2 linked regions of the Pelodiscus sinensis genome follow. The protein of the gene in region 1 purifies or fractionates together with the protein of each later gene. This does not show direct contact. Links are inferred from orthologs where the notes say so. Each region holds a gene or a part of one and is shown in the gene's direction. Other genes may lie near its edges.

Evidence for each region.
Region 2: the proteins of NKX2-1 (region 1) and FOXA1 purify together in Homo sapiens (affinity purification with western blotting; 3 studies listed by BioGRID and IntAct, with this or other methods). This does not show direct contact. The link is inferred for Pelodiscus sinensis from reciprocal best matches to the Homo sapiens genes NKX2-1 and FOXA1.

The regions. Positions count from the first base shown.
Region 1 is NC_134714.1:47,163,292-47,175,017, forward strand, and holds NKX2-1 (homeobox protein Nkx-2.1), read left to right. Parts: upstream 1-6,694; 5' UTR 6,695-6,765; coding exon 6,766-7,132; intron 7,133-8,211; coding exon 8,212-8,882; 3' UTR 8,883-8,942; downstream 8,943-11,726. UniProt on the Homo sapiens protein: Transcription factor that binds and activates the promoter of thyroid specific genes such as thyroglobulin, thyroperoxidase, and thyrotropin receptor. Crucial in the maintenance of the thyroid differentiation phenotype.
Region 2 is NC_134714.1:46,256,228-46,267,953, forward strand, and holds FOXA1 (hepatocyte nuclear factor 3-alpha), read left to right. Parts: upstream 1-6,118; 5' UTR 6,119-6,457; coding exon 6,458-6,532; intron 6,533-7,036; exon of another isoform or gene 7,037-8,988; intron 8,989-9,000; coding exon 9,001-10,263; 3' UTR 10,264-11,540; downstream 11,541-11,726. UniProt on the Homo sapiens protein: Transcription factor that is involved in embryonic development, establishment of tissue-specific gene expression and regulation of gene expression in differentiated tissues.

The DNA.
Region 1 (11,726 bases):
ACAGCCCAAAGATGTTTTTGGAGGGGTGAGGAATGGAAGGGAATAATTCAGGGCAATTACTGGAGAGCTATTGCTTGAGGTTGTTCAGAAGGAAATGACAACACGGAGGAGGGCGGATCAGCTTCAGGATTCTTTTCGTCGGAGTTGCCACGTTTCACCGGGGGGGGGGGGGGAGGTGTACCTGTAGCATTGTTGATCTGATCAATGCAATCCCTGCATTAGCCAGCAATGCTCTTTGGCACCAAGCGATGAGCGCAGTGCGAGAAATCCGCGGGTAACCGCTCTGAAGGTAGATCATTGGCAGGTCTAATTTGGCCTCAGCTTTAGTTTGCGTAAAAAAAACAATCAAGTCCTGCAAGCACAGGACCAATAGAAATATTCCTGTTACGGGATTACAAAATGTCAGTGACAGAGTTTTTGTAATGATCAAGAGTGTAACTGTAGCGCACGCCAGCCGGGAGGAGAAAGGAAGGGAAGCCACAAACACTACAGAAAAGCGATGCAAATAAAAAGGCGTTTGCGTGGTCCCAGCGGAGGAAGGTGCGAAGCAGAAACTGCAGCGCTCAGTGGCAAGAGTCGTCGGATTGTTTGAAATAGTCTGAGACTCATAAAAAAATAGACTTTCCATGCAGGCTTTTACACATCAGCATCCGTACAGCAAACGCAGAACGTATTGGCTAGCTTTAAACCTTCTCCGTATTTGAAGGTAAATATTTTCGGTAAGTGAAGCAAAGAAAATAGCTTTTTTGAATTACAAACTCGAAACCTGCTCACATTATTCCCGATGCAACTATTTGCCCGAGCAGGACGAAGAAGTTTAGCCACTGAGTCCTGAAAAAATGTTTTAAGCAGTCAACCAGACAAGCTCTCTTCCCCTTCCCCATTTCCCTCCAAAGCCACAAGTTTAATTACAAGCAGTGGAGAGCTGGCACCAAAACACAGACACGCAGCTACACAAGTACACCGAGATGCGACGCCGACTCTCTTTCATTCACCATTATCTTAAAGCAAATATATACCTACTGGCAACTTTCTCCCTCGGCTTCATCCTATACCTAGCTGCCCAGACAGAATCCATTTGGGAGCTTTTGCTCTGCGGGTCTGGGAAGTTTTGTACTCCAGAATGTTAAGCCTCAGCGGCTCTAAAATCTTTAGTGGGCTAACAAATCGAATTAACACTACTGGTCAGGTGTTGGGAGGAGGGGGCCGCTGCTCCAGATCTATTGCTTTCCAGATGCAGGGCTGCTGGGTGGCTCCCACCAGTGCTGGCATTTGAAATGAGGCGGGTGGAAATGGGTAGGAGTGGCAGTTATCGGGTATGGGGAAATAGTTTTGTTTTTCTGAGCTGAGTTCCCAAATACAATTGTTTGTAATAAAATCCTCCACGGACGCTAGCTCCCCACCCTCCCTAACTTGCCAAAGCTTTCCTTCCTGGGGCACGAAGGGCTGATCTGCCAGCCTGCAAAGGGCTCCCATTCAGCCCCTGATTCTGGGCTGGCATGTCTCCCTCTCTCCACCCCCATCTGCCCTTCGCCAGAGGTTAATCTCCCCTCAGCCAAGGGGCTGTCCATGTCTCCTGGGTGCATTTCCTACCCAAGGGGCAATGCGGCACCCAGGCCAAATCCATCCCAGAGCAGAGGAGGCTGCCCTCTGCAATAGCTAATGGCACCTCACAGCGGGCTGTGGGCCTGGCAGGAGCAGAGTCAGGGCTCTGGGCGGGGGTGACGAGAGAAGCGTTCTGAAGCCGAGGTGGAGGCTAAGGCAATTCTGTACCAACACTGCGCTCTAAGGAGCGCGGCGCAAGATCAGCCTGTGGGATGGGGCCAAAGGGGACTCTCCACATGGTCAGAGTAGCTTTGGAAATCCGGAACCTGCCCCCAAGAGTCATCATAGGGTCCAGGCTCAGAAAGCAGCCTCCAGTCCTGAGAGGGAGAAGTGTGGGGGGCTTTCCTTTTCATTTCCTTAGTCCTCAAAACCCTTCACTTCCACCCTGCTCCTGCCTCACTGAAGTACGCCATGGAGTGGGAGCTGTCTACGGAAGGAATATAGATTTTTCCCCCCCCTAACGACAGTTCCTCCCATCAGGGCAATAGATTTTAAGAGGGCATTTACAAGGCGTATGTGTGGAAAATAGCCTTTGCTTGCAGGGACACCCATTCCTCTTACCTTTCAACAGTAGCTGACTGAAACCTAAGAATACGTCTGTGGAAGTATCCTAGCATGATTCAACTATGCTGTTTAAACTATTCCTGCTTCTATTTCCTGCTGTACATATTTAAGTTGAAAAACAACAAATACTATTTTGGTTTTTTTGTTTTAAGTTTTCCTGTTACAGACTAACGGGGCTACCCCTCTGAATATTTAAGTTGCTCAGATATTTGGGCTGGGGAGGAGAATTCAATGAATAGACAATATATTAACAGGAAGCTGCCCCCAAAGACTAGTTCTGGATCTTCCCTTTCTTATTAACTCTCTGAAGCTAAACCAGGCTTGTTAATGGCACCAAATTATTAGCGTGAAAGGTAACACTGCAGCTGAATTGTCTTTAGATAGCTAACATTCCATTACACCGCCCCGCGCTATATCGGCAGTGGTTTCAAATGTCCATCTACTATGTATGTTCTAGGAGTAATTATTTTTATTCGTCTGCAGAGAATGTTACCTATGAGAGCAAAATTGTTCTACTTGCTCATGCATTGGCTCTGGACTCTCCTACCAAAGTTAATCACGTCTAAGCAATGAATGTAGCTCTTGATGAAAAACGTAAAGCGCCTTCCAAAGGCAAACGCAACTTCACAGAAGGCGGGCAGGTACAACGCTGCCATCTCTCATTCACTAACAGGTGGGGAAATTGGATTAGGGGTAAACCAAAGGGTAAATTGGATTGCCTTCACACCGACAGCAATATACTCTGCTGGGACCAGCAGCTTGGACTTAAGCTCTGACTTTCTCAAGTTCTGATTTCAAAACCCGTGGTGAAGAAACAAGCACCCTGTCTGGAAATTGTTGTGCACCCTTTCTGTTGGAAGAGTGGTACTAGTTTGAGACGGATCCACCAAAGTATTTGAGCACATGCTTAATGTTAAGCACGCGAGGATTGCCCTTGAAACTTGAATACTTTGCTGAATCGGCTCCTTAGTTTTTTCTCTGTTTCTACGCGGACGCCGCTTGAGCAGGAAAACCAACTGCAAAGCGATCCATTTTCGTCTTAAATGTTCAAAAGAGTGAGAGACACTTTATCTGTTAAACGAGACGCCGAAAAGCACAGAAATTAATTGTTCCCCTTCCCACATCCAGAGAAATAAATGTAGGGGCAATTCTGTCCCTTCCCCTCTCCCCCCAGGTTGAGTCTGCCTAGACTAGTTCATCTTATTCCCATTTGGGAGGCGCGCTAGCACGTATTTTAAAAAGACATTGTGAAATGTGGAGAGCCCCGGGCACACTTTAAAAAGCTGCTCCTTGAGTTCCCAACCCCCGCAATCCAGTTGATGAGGAAAGGCTCTGTGGTTTCGGTGGCACCGTTTGCATTGGGATTGGCACCGTTTGATTGACAAAGTCCCCCATTCTTCCGCATCTCGAGTGTTATCAAACGGATTGTGTAGGGTCAGAAGCTATTGAAGAACCGTCCGTGTAGCCGCCGAGAGGAGAATAAAGCATTCTGCAAACACGGGGTGAAGACGGTGGCATTCTCATGCATATGCTTCCAACAGGCGAAATGCATTTCAGCTTTCTTCTGCCTCCTCCTCCCCCTGAGCATTTCCTTTTAACTCAAGCGCTTTAGCAAACAGCAGCACCAGGTAAAAGAACACACTGCGGCCAGGCAGTTAGGTAGGCTCAGACCTGAGAGCTCAGACAGGCTGGACTTCAATTGCTCTGAAGGCAGCGCTCTCAAAAGGAGGTCGGAAAGGCGGTTTAAAAACAAACACAAAACTTTCCCGGTAGTTAGAGAGGAGGATGAACTACCTTGCTGTAATTAACGTGGGGAAAGCGGCGTCTGTGTTAGCATTCCACTAGGATAACTTCTTTTTGCTGAAAAGTGTATGCAAGTCTTATGATCCTGTGAAATAATCAATGGCGAGGAGTGTATGCTAAGTGACAACACCTTTGACCTCCGTCCGTATCAGGGACTCGGGACAGGTGTAGCAATCACATTGACTTCCCCTTCTATGATCCAGCGCAGCTCTGGAGTGATCAGCTTAATCCAACTGAGGGATATTTGGAGGCCATTCGAGGTGCATTCAGTGGGGGGGAGGGACAAATAAGAATGATTAACCACAAAAAGTTCTGAAACGGGAATCATTTCAACACATTCAAAAAGCGCATATGCCCCCAAAGCCAGTAGTCTGGTGTATGTGCAGAATGATCATGGGATAGGGCGCCCGCGGGCCATTAGGCACTACTCGAGAAGATACAGTGATATTTCGTAGGAAAGGCACAATACAGGGGATTTTTAGACGTGCCGTATGTATAGGTAATATTCTGAATAGAAAACATCGCTTTCCCCTACCACCGACCATAACTTTTTGCAATGAGTACATTGAGATTCATCGCTGAGCTGTTTGGGAAATCGGGTATAATTTAGTGTAAATTCCTTTCAAAAGATATGATTAGTGCCTGCTTACTTGCAGAACTAGCATTTGTCCATCTACTTTTTTTTATGTTTTGATCCTTTTCTAAGGTAATAAAATAGGCACGAAATGTTTGTGGATAACCCGGGGGAAAAGCTTCGAATTTGTAACTGAACATCTTCCTCCACGAAAGTATTGACATACATGTGAAATAAAAAAGACAGATCAATTCAGTTATCCTCTGGCAAAGCCATGAAAGGAAATCTTCCACGTAATTAGAAAAGAGCTAAAGACGTGGCGACGAAAACAGGACGTCTCCAAACCAGATGCATTTCTAATCAAAAGTTGTCCTGCCTTGATTCCGATTTGTGATGGGCGACACAACGGATTCTCAACACACACCCATTTCGGTATCAAGGCTGGAGATAACCTGATGCCTACTGAGGCAGAGGAACTGAGGAGCTGACTGCAGAAAAGTTCCACCGATTATATTTGTGCAGAAAAGCTCACCTCTTGCAGAGCTCTACAGTATAATCAAGGCTCCGGCTTACACTTGAAGGATGTTAATTCTCATACGGGGACCTACTTTCTCCTAAACGGTTTCTTGCCTACTGAATGAGTCTCCCAATTGAAGTAAAATGATCCTTATGTACTAATATCAAGCACAGTCACAAAGCGACTGGCCATTTATGCTGCCACTTTAGACAAAGATATTTTGTTATTCCCGGGTAGCAAGTGCACTTTTGCATTTTTAAGCAGGAACAAGCGGAGTGCAAACATATTTACAAGTGCAATTATAAAATAGTGATTTGATGCTTCAAAGTCACTAGGTTAACTGCACCATTGCTGCAATTTTCTTACTATTCAGATAATCCCTTTATTAAATTAGCTCCCAACCCTGTGGGCCATTGTGTTAAAATTCATGGAAGGGTTTTCGTTGAGTTCAGGAGAGACACTGAAATGTGTAGTTTGTAGTTGCTGTACAATTTGGAAAATTCCTTCAAAGTCTTAGCCTGAGTCACATTATAATAATCTGATATAATAACCTGAGTCACGTTAACTATTCGCCACATAGACATGTATAACTATTAATGAAGTCTGCATTCATTTAAAACTACACTGGGCAAAATACTAGAAAATTCAAGGAACCAAATCTTAGTTGGCAGGGTGAGGGGCTAGATGAGTTAATGGGTCTTTTCCATCCCTAACTTCCTTGAGTCCTAAATAAAGCTTTAAAAAAATCTTCAGATTAAGGGGTCTATCAGGGGCTTCTGACACGGCTCCTCTTAGAAAATAAAGAATGACACTTTGGTTTAGGGTATTTTTCAACTGCCTGTCACCCTCGCAAGCTTCCCTCTGCAAAGTAGGCAACACGATCTTTACGGTTTCATGTGCAGAAACGAGACGCTGGTTGTAGTGTTGCAGTTTAGGAGTTACTCTCATGTATGCTATAGAGAAACCTCCTTTGCAGCGTGGTTACAAGGCAGGTGCTGTTCACTAGCCAGCTTTCATACCTGACAATGTGCTGGACATCTCTAGGACCCTTTCGCCTTGTGTAATGCCCCATGTTGGAAACGGTGCTCAAATACGAAAGCTGGATCCTCAAACTATTCGAGGAGATATTTGTCTCTTCAATGTTTCTTTAACATCTAACTTAGTGGGGAGAGAGGGGAACTAAATCCCTTTGTTCCATAATGTTAAACTCTATAGATCCAGCTCTCACAAAGGCTGCGACTATAGTGTTAGGAGTGGGGCTAGAATTATAAATCATTTCTCTTTAACGCAGCAAATTTGCGTTGTAAAATTACATTCAATTCCCCACCCATCAACCCCCAGAAGAATAAAATAAAATTACTTGTGCTCACGGCGGCTTAAAGAAGACATTAAAACCCTGACAAGTAAAACTTAAAGGTGTTTACCTTGTCATCAGCATGTAAGCTAATTATCTTGGGCAAGATGTAGGCTTCTATTGTCTTGTTGCTTTAGTGCCTATGCCCCGCCTCTGGTGGCAGCCTAAAACCTGGCGTCTGGCTAAAACAAACGAAAGGCAGCCCTGAGCCTCCACTCAATCCAATTAAGGCGGACTTCGTCCACTCGGTTACGTGTACATCCAACAAGATCGGCGTTAAGGCAACACCAGAATATTTGGCAAAAAAGATTTGCCTCCCCTTCCCCCTTTTTTTTCAGCCGCCGAATCATGTCGATGAGCCCAAAGCATACGACTCCTTTCTCAGTGTCTGACATCTTGAGTCCCTTGGAGGAAAGCTACAAGAAAGTGGGCATGGAGGGTAGCAACTTGGGGGCTCCCTTGGCAGCCTACAGGCAGACTCAGGTTTCTCAGCCAACGATGCAGCAGCACCCCATGGGCCACAACGGGACAGTGACTGCTGCCTACCATATGACAGCGGCAGGCGTCCCCCAACTCTCCCATACCACGATGGGGGGCTACTGCAACGGCAACCTAGGCAACATGGGGGAACTGCCACCCTACCAGGAGACCATGAGGAACAGCGCTTCAGCCACGGGATGGTATGGGGCCAACCCTGATCCCCGCTTCTCTACAAGTAAGTGAGCCCCGGTACCCGCGGGGGAAACTTTCCGCGCACCTCCGGGAGCAAGCCTGCCCCAGTGTAGCCACTTGGAGAAGCCGTGTCGGGTGCGGGGTTGGGAGGGGGGGCGGAAGGCAAGGGGGGAGAGTGGCTTGAAGTCGGAATGGGGTCAGCCCAAAGGGTGGGAGCGGCAGGGCTAGCGAGGAGCCGCACGATCGGTATTTTTTGTGGTTTTGCTCCCAAAGCCCCGGTTCTGTCCGCTCTTCGCCTGTCTCCCGCTTCCCAAATCTGCCCCGGCTCGCTGTAGGAGCCTAGCGAGCCACTTGCCTTGCCGCAGGAGAACCGACGGGAGAAATGCCCCGCGATCGGAGCGATTTTACTGCAGGCGAGGCGAGCTTTGGGCGGCTGTATCCTGGGGAGGGGGGGATGTCTCTTCCCAAACCTGCTGCTGTACAGCGCGACAGCGAACGGGAAACATTGCCATACGCGCAAGAGGCGCTTTCAATACATTCCAAGCCCTTCCACCCTAAGCCCCGAATAATTCGCAGTGAAACCGACGCATCGAATTGTGCCTCAGCTCCCCCAACAAGCTTGCTTAACGCGGGGGGCACGCCGCATGCTGGAAGCGGGAACTGACATGTATTCGCTTACTCCAACTCTGCGGAGCCAGGGGGTTTCCGATGTTTCCTCCTGACCTAGCGTGGCTCGGAAGGGGCGTAATACCGGTTTGGAGATGGAAACTTGCCCTAGCTAGTGTGTGTGCCTAGGCGCTGCTTTTGTTTCGTTCCCCTGGTCCGGCTCTTGGCTACCCACAGAGCCCGTGTGTGTGTATGGGCGGTGGGGTTCAGTTATTTGCAAAGATTTTGCTCCCCGCAAATCGTTATCACAATAGCCTCATGCTAGTAACACAGTCTATACAGCCCTGCCTGGCTCGGTGGAGGGCTAGGTGGGTTTCAAAGAGCTTGGTAATGGGCAGGTGTTTGATCGGGGAGAGGATCTTGGCTGGGGAGCCGACAATCTACACGCGTTTCTCGTCCAGGCAGCGCCGGGCCTCTAACCGTGTAGCTTAAAATGTGTGATTTTCTTGGTTTTAGTATCCCGCTTTATGGGGCCGTCTTCTGGAATGAACATGGGCGGCATGGGGAGCCTGAGCTCACTTGGAGACGTTAGCAAGAGCATGGCCCCTCTCCAGAGCACGCCACGGAGGAAACGCAGGGTCCTTTTCTCCCAGGCCCAGGTTTACGAGCTGGAGAGACGCTTCAAGCAGCAGAAATACCTCTCAGCTCCGGAGCGAGAGCATTTGGCCAGCATGATCCATCTCACGCCGACTCAGGTCAAGATCTGGTTCCAGAACCACCGCTACAAGATGAAACGCCAGGCCAAAGACAAAGCCGCGCAGCAGCAGATGCAGCAGGACAACAGCGCCTGCCAACAGCAGCAGTCCCCCAGGCGAGTGGCGGTGCCCGTGCTTGTAAAGGATGGCAAGCCGTGTCAAGCGGGCTCCAACACGCCAACGGCAGCGATCCAGAGCCATCAGCAGCAGGCAGCGACAGCCATCACGGTGGCTACCAATGGCAACAGCCTTGGACAGCATCAGAGCCACCAGACAAACAGTGCGGGGCAGTCTCCAGACCTGGGACAGCACTCAGCCAGCCCTTCCTCCCTCCAGAGCCAGGTCTCCAGTTTGTCTCACTTAAACTCTTCTAGTTCTGACTATGGCACGGCCATGTCCTGCTCTACCTTGCTCTACGGTAGGACCTGGTGAAAGGATTTTTTTTTTTTTTTTTGGAAAAAAGCTCAGATGCTCCGAGTCTCACAGATCTCTACCCTGTTCAAACGCTTGTTTGATTTTATTTTTTATTTTTACTTTTTCACGAGCGGTTCTCCGAGGAACCCCTAGCAGAGAGAGAAAATGACTTTGTAGGTTGGGAAATGGGTATTTTTTAAAAAAAATAGATCACGACGCAGTTGCAGAATGGAGACCATGAATGACCATGGTTCGGAGGCTTGGATTTCAAATGTACAGTTTGCCAGCGAATAGAACTTGCATGTAAATATAGAGATTTTCGGGAGGGAGGGGTGGGCGTTCCCCCAAAACACCATTAGTGTCGCCCAGACAAAAGGAAAGCCCCCCCCCCATCCCAGCAACCAGGGCCCGCCGATGGAGATATTGATTCGTCACAGCTTGGCATTTCTCCCCCACCCCTTACTTTTGATGTGAACCTGTAGCTGTATAATGCTGTCAAAAGTTGGACTAAACCCATAGTTTTTAGTAACCTGTATATTTTGTTGTAAAGAAAAATAATACAATCAACCAAATCAAACCAAAACACACCCGACCTTTTTTATGGACATTGAACGATCCGTGTAAATCCTTTGGCAGTTTGTTATTTCCGCACGTCTCCTCTTTCTGTTGTAAACTTATGTAGATATTTGGCTTAAATATAGTTCCTAAGAAGCTTCTAATAAATTATACACATTGCAAATATTCTTATTATTATTATTTTCCTTTGCTTTCCCCTTATATCTCTCCCTCTCCCCCACCCCAGAAAACAAATAGGGATGCTAATAAATATTGACACCAAAAGCAAAAAGGCTCAAATCTTGCAGGAGTTCGGGCCACTGGTTTCACTGGGAAGCAGGATTAGGCCCATGTTTTGGAGAGAGATAAGATTACTCTAGTCCAAATGGAGGAATCGACCCCCGGAATTCATTAGCCCGACATCAAGCTAGGGAGCACATGGCTATTGACAGAGAAAGGAAAGTAGTCCAGAAGCAGAGAAGTTAAATGTGTATGGTTATTAGAAACAAACTAAGGAGTAACGCACTGACAGGCTAGAAAATGCAACCCTTTTAAAAAGCGTGTCCAGTTTTAATAACTTGTGCAAAAATAATTTCTACCAGGTTTTCTTATGTACTTTGTATTTTAAGGAAAGTACAGTCACCTTATTTATAATCAAAATAAAATGATAGATTATTGTGTACGGCGTATAGTTTGAATTAACTTTTTTCATACAATGTATCTGTGCACACACAGGCGCACTTGCATCACTTTTGTCCTGCACCTTTCATCCTGACAAAACAGGCAGAGGAACTAGCTTGCTACTTTGCTGCGGGTGCTTTGCTCCGGTGGCTGGACTAGGCTGTAAAGAAATAGGCAAGAGAAAGTGTGTGTGTGTGTGCGTGTATGTGTGTAGGTGAGAAACATAGCTGCATTTATTAGTGAGGTAAACATTATAGGGAGTTCAAGAGAGCTAGTGTTAACTTCGGGGTAAATAGACAAAGTAGATATTCCACTGAATAATCAACAAATAAGTTTCATTCGCAAGATTTTGGGCCAATATTATTCCTTTTGGAAACTGGAAATCCAAAGTTAGTCTTTCCCATCAACATAAGGACCTCATACGGTCATTTTCTCCAAATCGCCTTTTTAGTAGTAATTTTCCCTCCGATTTTTTAATTAAAATGCGGGCATAAATCTCATAATGGAAAGATCTCTGAAACGCCGAGGAATCCTGAACCAGTTCCTGTTATCTGAGACGGAGCGAGAAAGGAGGTAGCCAAGAGTGGAAACAAACACCTCTGCAGTTTTTGTAGCAGCACCGGAGAGCTCTGTCATACTATTTAGACAAGCTATTACTCAGAGCTCGGATAAGAAAAAGGAAAGAGACTAAAAAGATTATCGGATCCTTCTTTTAAACTGGAGGACATCACGTGTCAGAGAGAATTTGAAGTCTGTCCATTTTTATAGTATTCCGTAAGTGGATAGAGGAAGATTACCAAATGGGCTCGAACATATTTTAACGTTACTATTTTCGCGTCACTTTTCCTCTACTAGGAACATTAATTTAAAGTTTATAACTAGCATTCAGAGAGCCCAAAACGGAGTGCTCGGTGCTGTCGATTAGAATAGAAATACATCGGGAAACTGGAATTTCTTTTAAGTGTAAAACTTCTGTGCTTACGTCCTGGTCCAAGGAGAATCGGCGTGAGATCTGTGCATGATTAATGCCATACATTTATGAGCAGGTCTTGTTCCATTCTCTCTCCAAATTTTAAAATACACGCTTAAAGTGTGAAAATGCGGTGTTTAAATCAACATGTCTCCCCTCTTGAAATGTATTTTAAAATCCTTCAAAAATAGGTAATTTTTAAAACTCCAGCAGATCTAGGAATAACTGTGAAATCCTAGAACTATTTTCATGGAATGGAGAAATCAAACTGGCATGTTTAGTGTGGAACTAGCTAGAGACTTAACATAATAGACTTTGGGCAATAAATGAATTTTATTGTATCCAGACAACCTCATAAACACATTTGATGGTGGGTGTAATTACTGTAATGGATTATTATGTACACTGGCTTATCTTTCTTAAACTAAATTTAGTTTCGATTAAATAAACTCGTTTCCACTTTGTCTGATGTCGGCTTAGTTTAAAGTCTGTTTGCTTGTTCCACAGAAAAGTGAATTCATCTCTTTATAAAGCACTAGGGACCAGGCAAACACAATTCAAACTATATTTACATATCAATCAGGAGAAATGCAAACAAACTGCCTCTTTAACAAATTTATAGCGTTTTTTTATGACACCGTATTATTGCCTTTTAT
Region 2 (11,726 bases), about 910 kb from region 1:
TGTATATATCTAGCAGCATTCACAAAAATTAACTTACAGTATGCATTACATAGTTTACCTGCATTATAAACTATTTAACAAAAATATGTTGCTTTAAACAAAGAAAACATACATTTTCTCATTATCCAATTGTCTTTGTGGCCAAAAGCAATGATTGGACAGTATTTATTTGTCATTTTAATTTTAAAGATTTTTTCCTCCTTACCTGGTTTTAGTGCACAGATATTTTCTAATCTGTTTTAGAGCAGGAATTGAATGATGTAAGGAAATGTATTCTCACGCATAAAAGAATGGATTCTATCACATCAATACAAATTATGGGACCAAAACCAAAAAAACAAACCAACAAAAAATCCTGGCAGTGCAGCATCGCTATGACAATGCACAGAGCGATATCTCCTGTGATTGTGTAAAAGAACTTTGTAACAGGGCTCGGTTATCATAATCAGGCAATTATAGAATCCGGAGTTGTTAGGGACCGATCCTGAGCGCCTTCTTAGCTGTGTTGTGGTCTTTCCCCTTCCTCCTCAATAGTTCATAAATCTGATGGACCGGATCCTGTTTTCACTGACTGCAATAGCAGCAGGATCGAGTCAGGTGTAGGCGATTAACTTATCGGTGCTCCTGTAACTTGCAAAATAAAGATCTCGGGAACCCCTAGTACAGCTGATGGAAAGAACTGTAGTGCGGCTGAGCTACAGTTTCTTTGCTTCCTCTATCAGGAAAACATACTCTAGATCCATTCGGACAATCTATCAGTCACACACCTGGCGCGACAAAAAATGGGGGTAGGAGAGAAGGGTGGAGGCGAAAACACTCGAATTCCTAGGTGACATTTGTGTTAATTTTATAAATTAACACAAATTTATAAATTGACTTCCTGGCAATTCTCCAGAATCCTGATCTGGGTATAGTTAATTACTCAACATTAATAACACATAGTTTCAAAAATATTAACATTTTTGTAGAATTTCTCATATAATTTGTCCTCCATTTACTTTTGTATAGTACCTCTTTAAAGGAGTGACTAGATTGTTTGTATTGTCAGCGTCTGGGAGTTGACAACAGTACTGCTTTAATCCTGCATCTTGCATTAGATTGAAATTAAAGGTAGAAACATCGATTCATTTGAATAGCTGAATAGAGATTCATTTTTCAAATGCATTGTTTTATTTGAAATGGGCTTTTTCCTGTAGACACCACAGGAGATAAAGGAGTCAATTCAGAAGGAAAAAGAGTCCAGACCGTGTGGATGGGATCAGGAACCATTTTAGTGTCGTTATATGTCACTTAGTAAGTGATTCACAATACACTACATTTAAAATCTACTTTAAGAGGAATACGATTCTTTTTGCAGGTTAGCGGGATAAACAAAACCAGCAGGAGTAAGGGGGGAAAGACACTTCATTTCGAGGCAGATCATTAGTTAAGGAAAAACTACTCGACTGACAAAATCCGAGGCAAGAAAAGTTCACGAGGAAAAGACTAGAAGCCACTGTTGACCCAATAAAGTGTTCTTACCTGTCTAGGCAAGTACATTTATCCCAAAAGAGAGGAAAGTAAATGCAACCTTATCAAATCTCACCTGTTCGTGAACTCCTGCTGAGCGACTGAGAGCTCAACCCTTAAATCAAAGCCAGTATCGAGAATGGCTATCTGCGTCAGAGGCATACTTTCAAAACACAGAGCTTCCAGTTGTTGGGCTGGCAGGAGAGGTGTTAAAATGCACGAGGCTATCTATTTTGCCCCCAGAAATATGCTGGGCCCTTTCATCGCTGTTTATATTTCAGTCAATGCTGCCAAGTCCCGAAGTGGTTCTATTATGTCTAGATCCGTCCATAAAATTGCATTTCGTCTTGGTACTTACCGGTTTCTTCGTGGAAATCAGAAGCTCTTTACATTAATCGAAGTACATGCTGGGAGTGAGAAAGGAGGATTCAGGCTTTCACAATCTGTGTTGTCTCTGTCCTGTATTTAAAAGAAACGGGTGCTGCACCCTGCGATCTGACAACATCGGGCTTTTCGTTGGATTATTTGTTTTATTGACATTGGTGTGCGGTTTTGTGTGAAATTAGAGTAATAGGATTTTCCTGTTTCTGCTTCATCTCTTCTGTAGAAAAAAAATGAAGCTTCTTTAGATAGATAGATAGATAGATAGATAGATAGATAGATAGATAGATAGATAGATAGATAGATAGATAGATAGATAGCCATCACCAAGTTTAGTCCAACCTACTTTAACACACCCATAATACTCTAATAATATGGAAATCCTTTCTGATAATGACCAGTTCTATGTGCAGTTCTGCAGTTAAATGTATATAGTAAAATGAAACGAAGTCTGTACAATTAACACAGAAGAAAAATGTCCCTAGCTCCATGGAAAGAGACAGATGATTGGAACAGCTTCACGTGTCAGCGATATGTCCCTTAACAGAAAATCTCTTTAATGTCGATACAAATATCTTATTTAGCTAAAACCAAGTGGCCACTTCAAATTAAACCTGAAGAATTACCCGTAAGTCCCGTCTGCATCAAAGGCAAAGATAAATACATTAAACGGCAACGTTTTCTAGGAAAAATGAACAGTTTTTTCTCTTTTAAAAAAATCATTCTTAATAATTTTGTTTCTGTGTTTGTTGCAGTTTGTAGGGGGGAATGAATCTTTGGGGTGGCTGGACTGTCCAGATGATCCAACTTTCATATTTGGTAAGTGAGCATGAATAGAAAACACTAATTTCCCTTACTTTTATTCTTCAATAAATGAGATGACAAATACTCCAGAAATCTGCCACCGTTCCCTTTGTTCACTGTCATTATCTCCCTACCTGAGGCCTCCCTGGAATACCCTTACTCAGAAATACTGCGCAAACTGGCTTCAAAAATTGTATGTTTTTCATCACGTAAGTGGGATGAGTTGTGACTCTCTTATAATAATAGCTCCAGCTAACGTCGGTCTCTTTTCTATTTCCCCTTCCTAATTTGCAACATCCTCCGGTTTCTGATGCAGAGAGACCACTAAACGGAATTGAAACTCTGGTCCCCATTAGACATCCGAGAGCAGAAGCTCTCTCTGTTCTGTGTCCCCGTCCTGTGACTTTGCAAAACGAATGACAGTTGAAGCAAATGATTTCAGGGAGTCATTGTAAATAGTTACAATCAGCTGTGGTGCACTAAGAAGAAAGGATCACTATACTGGAACCAGGGCTATACTATTCTAGCCTAGCAAACACACTTCGGCAACTAGACTCATCCCAAGAGGTTTGATCCGGAGTCACCCACGCACTTCTTAAGAAGAGTCTCCGTTCCTTCCTGCCCAGAGAGTCTTCAAAGTATGGCCAAATGCGGCTGACACCCAGATCGTCGGGCACATTACATAGAGTTTCAGCAGCTAGCTGGCTAGAAATGTACTCTTTTTAAAACGGTTCACAGCCAAAGCCACCGTTTACTATTTGCAAACACCCGCACAAATAACCGCCCCGATCCTCGAGCTTAGATCCACTGCTAAATTGCAGTGAAAATCTGTCTCTCAAACAGCAGGCTGCAGTGCTGTAAAGAGGAGTGGGCACTGAGGGAATTTCCAGTAGCTGCTGATTCTCTGCCTCAGGCAGCTTGATTTGTCTAAGTAAGTGAAAACTGTTGTAAGAAGATTATAAACTGCAGCTATTCATGTGGCATTGTACCCAGTAGCTGTGTGTAAAACAGGTATGTGAGTTTGGCATAGCAGCTGGACAACAGGAGGCGCTGTGACTTTGTACAAACAAGTCTCCTGTACACGTAGAAATTCAGTGAAACAAAATTGTCTTACAATTACCTTTCAGCAGAGGAAACCTACTCTTTAAAAAGGGGCTGAATCTTTAATCAGGGTGGGTTGTGTGTGTTGATATCATTGCCTATGGCTTTTGGAAGGCCAGAGAATGTAATTTTAAACAGCTTGACTTTTGAGCTAGCTGATACACTTTGCCTTATAACGTTTCTATATAATTTTTGCGAACGTATCCAGTAGACATGTGGCGGAGACAGTTTCTGATCTCTTATGAGAGCTAATATATTAGGCGGCTGTTTTCACTAGAATTACATTGCTGCGGAAAATAGGATACTATCTTGCTTATCTCACACAAACAAAGAATAGTTTGTGGCACAATCACGAGAAAAACAGAGGACCCCTTGCTGCTGAGAGCCCCGCACGGTTTCATAGGGCATTCGTGTATATTTTGACCTGGTATGTTGTCCAAACAGAACCAAAAATATTGAAATAAATAAGTGACTCAAAAAGTACTAATTTGTGTTATAGATAGACTGATCAGGTCATAGATAGATAGATAGATAGATAGATAGATAGATAGATAGATAGATAGATAGATAGATAGATAGATAGATAGATAGATAGATGCTGCATTCTTTGATTATGTTGTCTATTAATACCTTCTATGTGGATTTTGTTTCAAGATAAATCTTTTATTTACAGTGTGACCGTTTTAAAAAGCGGATTGTAATCCAGTGCTTTTATCCTTTTGTTTCTTTAACGGCACGTTTTCCTCCCTTGTTCTCGCCTGCTGATTTCATAGTTTTGTTTGTTTCGAAGATTTAACTTAACTCTGTTGCCAGATTTAAAGAAAAAAAGGGGAAGAAAAAGAACAAAGATATGGATAACAAAGGACGCGTTTACGAGACAAGTTAAAACATATTTCTCAAAGCAGAGATATTATATGTGAGACTATGTGTATTATAATGTTAATTTATTCTGAGAGACTTTAATGTGAAACGTGCTTAATTTGTGATGCACAAGAATTTGTCACACTATTAGTAAAAAAACCCACAAGGACAATTAAACGAGGAAGCAACTAAAAGCCGTTGTGTATGTCCCATCTGATAAACACCATGTACAGAAATTCAGTTCACTAGTGTATTTTTAATGTTTGTTACGATTCGTATCACATCGATTTTCAAATGCCCAAGAATTGTAAGGTGGTTTATTCTCCTTCCCTTAAACTCCCCCGAAAGCTTTTTACTACGAAGTAATACAAGTTCTGTCATCGGGACAAACATAAAGGATGTTGCTAAGAAACCCAAAGACGTGTCTACGATCTTGACATCAGATCAGAGAATCACAAAAGGTGGAAATTTAAAATGATATCTTAGTTCCCCTCCCCTGCAAGAGCGGGGTAGATTGCCCAAGAGTTTTGCTCAGTGTAGTTTTGTTTGTTGTTACTGACCAATTTCAACTTTTAGCCAAATATGACCATTGTGAGGCACCCCCATTTCTTGAGAGAAATCAGAGTAATGCACAATTAAAGTTACTAGTCAGGCATCCGCTGCTTATTATTATCACTGTGGCTGGGTGACTATTTCCAAGCAAGCTTATGGGATGAATACTTTCTATAACAAGGATAGAAAATGGTTTCAGTGACTCACCTGATGTTTGTCACATATAGGTTAATATCAGTGGATCCGCATTCAATCCGGTGTTCGTGTTTATTGGGTGGCTTAACGTCATGCCTCACCGCTGTGACTCACATGGCATGATTTCTGAACGTAAGAAACAGCAAAAGAGAAAAATAAAACTTACAGCTACATAGAAGCCTTGTATAGAGGAATGGACTGGTCTTAGCCCATGAACATGTCAATAGAATTTTGGAAACATATGGCAGAGAACATAGATTGAAATTGGAAGCGCCAAAGTTATTTGCTTTGGTGAGTGGGGGGGGGGGGAGAGGAAGGTGAAAAGTGCTGTATAATCTTAAGACTAGTTCTCATATCTTGGGTGTATGTTGGCTACTTTGAATACTTTGAAATGCCGGTCGCCACGTTAAATGAACATCTACTGCACTTTAGTAAATACGGCTCCCAAATCTCCGAGTTCGGAGGCTGGGTGGCCTTTTGAATTCTATACAAACAGCGGGGGTTGCCCTTCCTTATCGTCTTCGTGTAATTTCCAGCGATCCCTGCTAGCATTTCTACTGGCCATTTGAAAAGAGGGTATTTTCCTTTCCTACTCTTTCTCCCCCCTCCCTCCTCCCACCTCTGTCTCTCCTTCTTTCCCCGTAGCTTAAACCAATTACACTGCTTTGCAAATAAAGTGACGCCCCGGGGGAGTTGCAAGCGAGTGGAACTGCCTTGTTTGCAGGTGCATCTCCGGCTTTGTAGGTGCGAACGTCTTTGTGCGGCGGACAAATGGGGAGAGGAGGAGGAGGAGGTGGGCACTTCTGCGACGTAAGATCCACATCAGCTCAACTCCACTCACATCCCAGCCGGCACTTCCTCACTTTCTCAAGTGTCTCGCCCCACACCGCTGCCTGCCTCTTTTTTGGCTGATTGTAGACCACAGCTCAACCCCTCCTCCTTCCCCCCTCCCCCCGAGATTTGGCTTCCTGCTAGTTTGGGGCTGTCACGCTCCCTTTCCTGCTGCCTGTGGCTGGGAGAGAGGCTGGATGGTTACACCGGGCAGGTTGGCTCCATGATGTTAGGGACTGTGAAAATGGAAGGGCATGAAACTAACGACTGGAGCAGCTACTACACCGACACGCAGGAGGTGAGTGAATCCAAGGAGCTCGCTTGTTTGCTGCCCCGGAGCCGCTGGAGCTGGCGCAGGGGGAGGAGGGAGGGCTGGAGTGTGTGTAACAATATGGGGAAGAGGGTTGCACTCCAGATCCTGCCAGTGCAGACGTGCCTTTTCCACTGAAGCCGGCCAAGCAATAAAGAAATCGCCAGGGTTTCCCTCAACCCAATGGCGCTTCCGTGAAAACGGGGCCGCTGCTTGTGCTTGCAGTGAGTGGGAGTGCGGGGGAGGGGGATCGAGCTCGTGTAAGAGGCGTCATTTGTACTTTTGCACACACACACAAAAGCGCCCCGTAAACTCTCGGCTTGGCGCAGAGGACTGTGCCTGAGCCCTCGCTCCCGCAGCCCAGGGCTCTCCAGATGGTGCACGGTGTGAGGGCCACGAGTTGCAAAAATCCTTGGCAAATACTAGCGCCTTCCCCCGCCGTGGGCGAGTTTCGGTTTTAAGGCCTTTCCCCACAGCTTCCTACGGCCTCACCTGTTAATTCTGGTGCTTTACTGGGCAAAATAACCAGTCGTTTGTCCTTTGCAACAAGATTTTTGAAACATGGCAGTGCTTCTTCCTGGGACCGGAGGGTGGCGCTGCTGAGAGTCTCCTCAGGCGGGCCCGGGGGAACCTGTCTCTTTCTCCATCCCCGTCGCATTTCCATGTTATTCTTGTTTTTACAATATGCTCAGAAGGAACAGAAAGAAAAGATCAAACATAAGCAAATGGACAATGATAGAGGGCAAATAAAGCACCAATACGGAGTGAATTGCCTCCCCTTGGAATATGGATTGAAACCCAACAGGGATTGCTGTTTGCACATTTGTGGATGTGACCGTTTAGCTCACATTGGAATATTTGTGAGAAACAACACACTTAGCATTAAACAAGTAACAGAGAGAATATCCAAAGTTATGCACAGATTAGTACGCAGAAAGGAGACACTTCATAGTAGAATTGTAAATGCGTAGGGTTAAGATGCGGGATATATATATACTAAATATTTGCGCACACATATAGGAACAGTGGGTGCATGGGTGTTCCCATACACTTATTTTTTAATGTTGAAGGGGCAGATGAAAACCATATTTAGCTTTTCTGTATTTAATATTCCCTACCATAAAGTTTTGGGAGCCTTCCTATTACTATGTTAGCGACAATTGCTTGTCCTTATTTGCTACTATAATATATACACTGCATAGATTTTTGTAAGGGAAACGCCTTCTTGTTTTAAACTGTTCCGTGAAATAATTATCTCAATATAAAATAAAACCAGGATTTTAGGAGACAAACGGCATGATTGCTTATAATAAGGAGCTGCAAATTCTACAGTACATCAATAATAATTAAACATAGCTTTTACTTAGCAGAATTCTATTTGTTCACTCTAAATTGTAAATGAACGAGAAAGGCCTTGACCTTATTTCTATCCAATTAAGATGTATTATTGCTTTATATTCCTTTAGTAATTTTGGTGATATATTTTATAATAGTTCAGAAATGTGTCTCAATCGTATTTTTATTGCACATTAGAAGATTATAAAAAATCATAAGGAAACAATATAGAATTTAGCGTATATATATTTTGGGAAATGTTTTTTGATGTTAGGTTAAATAATGTGACACAGATATTGAACAAAACGGTCCACGTGCTGTCTCTCAGATTTATAAATAAAATATGGTCTAAACGGGGGAATAGCTGAATTTCTTTTAATGGTATATTATTAGTTTGTTTAACAAAAACAAATCAAATACGTGGCAGCCATATGTATGATGATGCTTTGTAGGAAAACCTAGACAATTTAATTCTGCCTTGTCCAAAATTTAATCAGAAAACGCACAAGTTTGTTCATATTTTTGTATTAGGTTTTTATTAGCTAATCAAACATTAAGAATATGGGGAGAAATAAGAGGAACATGTAACTGGTTTTAGACAATCGCTTTACATTATTTGTAAGCATGGTGTGTGCATGACTTGTTTTGATATGAAAAGGTGAGATTGTACTTTTAGCGTGACTTAGTAAGATAAGTGCATGCTGCATCAGTCGCCGGAGATACAAATACAGGCGCTTTTTCCAAATAAGTACTGAATAAAATATTTAGCTTTCTCACCCTGCTACCGTCTGCATGAAACAGCGGAGAATAAAATTAGCAGTTTCCGTAGTATAGTAATAGACACACTATAAAGGCAAAAAGGTGTTCATGTTGGCTGGAGGTTTGTAAGATACATCAGAGGTGTATATATTATCACTTTGTATTTGTAAATAGGCTGGAGGTAGATCGCCTCCAGAACGGCCGTGGTAACTTCCTGGAGGTCAGGCGACGTTACTGCTCGGTGTAAGGCCGGGAGACGTTTCCCCTCTTGTGCAAGGGACTCCGGGGATTCGCTTTCATAAAAGTGGTTCGTGTCCTTCTCTCGTGCTCACCGCCTCTCTTCATCTTGTGTCCCTGTCTAGGCCTATTCCTCAGTTCCCGTCAGCAACATGAACTCCGGCCTGGGCTCTATGAACACCATGAACACCTACATGAGCATGAACACCATGACCACGAGCGGCAACATGACATCCAGCTCCTTTAACATGTCCTACGCCAACCCGGGGCTTGGGGCCGGCCTGAGCCCCGGCGCCATGGCAGGCATGTCGGCGGGCTCCAGCAGCGCCATGAACAGCATGACGGCAGGGGTGGCGGCCATGGGGACGGCGCTTAGCCCCACCGGCATGAACGCCATGTCCGCCCAGCAAGCCTCCATGAATGGCCTGAGCCCGTACGCCAGCATGAACCCCTGCATGAGTCCCATGGCCTACGCCCAGTCCAACCTCTCGCGGAGCCGGGACACCAAGACCTTCAAGCGAAGCTACCCGCACGCCAAGCCGCCGTACTCCTACATCTCGCTGATTACAATGGCCATTCAGCAGGCGCCCAGCAAGATGCTGACGCTGAGCGAGATCTACCAGTGGATCATGGACCTGTTCCCCTACTACCGGCAGAACCAGCAGCGCTGGCAGAACTCCATCCGCCACTCGCTCTCCTTCAACGACTGCTTCGTCAAGGTGGCCCGCTCGCCCGACAAGCCCGGCAAAGGCTCCTACTGGACCCTGCACCCCGACTCGGGCAACATGTTTGAAAACGGCTGCTACCTGCGCCGGCAGAAGCGCTTCAAGTGCGAGAAGCAGGCGAGCAACAAAGCCAGCGCGGAGGGCAGGAAAGAGCCCCCCGGCGCCTCCCAGTCCGGCTCCAACTCCCCTTTACACCGGGCTCACTCGAAACCCGCCCCGCTAGAGTCCGCCAGCTCCATCCCCAACCCCAACCCCGCCGCCAGCCCCCACGCCATGGACCACACTGGAGCGAGTACTGAGCTTAAGACCTCGGCTTCCGCGGCGTCCTCCACCCTCAGCTCCGTGCCCTCCCTGGCGCCTGTCCAGCACCCGCCGCACTCCCTAGCCCATGAGCCCCCGCTCCACCTCAAAGGCGACCCCCATTATTCCTTCAACCACCCCTTTTCTATCAACAACCTCATGTCCTCCTCGGAACAGCAGCACAAGCTGGACTTCAAAGCCTACGAGCAGGCGCTGCAATACTCTTCTTACGGGGCTGGCATCCCGGGCGGGCTGCCCCTGGGCAGCGCCTCCATGGCCGGGAGGAGTAGCATTGAGCCCTCCGCTTTGGAGCCTTCCTACTATCAAGGTGTGTATTCCAGACCCGTGCTAAACACTTCTTAGCTCCGCTCGGCCCACCTCGCGGGGCGAGTCCGAGTCTCCCCCTCGCCAGCCCGGGAACCAAACTGTCCCATTCCCGCGCGCTTCCCGCGTAAGGACTGTTACTTTCTTGTTGTGTTCACACGCCGTGGGTACGTTGTTCGAAACCAGGAGCGCCTGCAAAGCGGAGCGACCCCCCCCCCCCCCCCTCTGTACATAACTCCTCGCTCCCTCTCCTCTGCCCTTCCAAAGATCGCTGTCGCCTTTGCCGGGGGTTGCTTACGAGAGAGAAAGAGAAAAAAACCGATTGTTGGGCTTGTAAACTATTTGTTTGTGCTTTCCATCCCTACCCACTGCCCCCTTCTGTGCTCTATAATCTCATGCAAGTTTACAGGTATGTGGCAATACTTTTAACAATACGGAGATGAAGAAGCAAGCAAGCAGACGTATACGGTTCTCTTTTTTAATTAAGAAGGTCTGAAGGACAATACTGCTGTGAAGTCGCAAAACACTAATCTCTAAGCAACAAGAAAGCTATTTACTTTCTCAGATTATCCTTTTGACACTGGCAAAATACTCTTCGGTTAGTAGAACACGCATGCACAATTGCCCTGGGACGAATCCTGCACTCTCATTGATGGAAGTGGGAGTTTTGGAGCGCAGAATTTGGCCCAGATATTTCCAAGCGTTACCTGTCTCGGGATGTGGTACAGAGGTCACAGTCAGTTGGATTTGTTTTCTCCCAAGCTGTTACGAAGATTCTCCTTCATCAGGAACTCTCTTCAACACGTGGATGACATAATTATTTAATTTGAGTCTCTCCATTGTGTACAAACTAGACCTATTGCTGTATAACATTATTTTCCCCAGAAAATACTGCATATTAACGCAACGCAAGGAGGGGCGAGGAGAGAGCTCTCTCCTTCTTATATGTTCCAGAATGAGACCTCCAGAATTTGTTATGGCCTTTCATTATTGCCATTGTTAGCTTGTTTCATCCAGTGTTAATGCACTTTCCACAGTTTTACACGGTGTTAGCATAGACAGACGGGTCTTATTATTCCTGTTCGCTTTCTCAATGTTCTTAATTTATTGCATGGTTTATATTTTCTTTCTTTACAGCTGAGATTGCTTTAAATAACAGTAAAATTACACATGAGTTTTTTAAATGTTAATTTTATAAATGTGATTGTAATTGAAAAATATTTTGATTTAAAATGATACCTGAGAATTTAAGCCGTGAAGTATGTTTTTTGATCATTTGCAGTTAAGGACTTTAAATAAATCAAACGTTAACAATGGACGATTTCTGTTATTTTCTTTCAGTTGCATATGTGTGAAGGATAGAATAGATTTATATAAAATATAAACATAGTTAAAATATAAAAATAGTGTTTATGATGAAGGTATAATATTTTAAAATGAAAGGCTATGTATTAAATATTGAACTCTTGTGAACCATAGTGGTATGCTGGCATTAATAATGA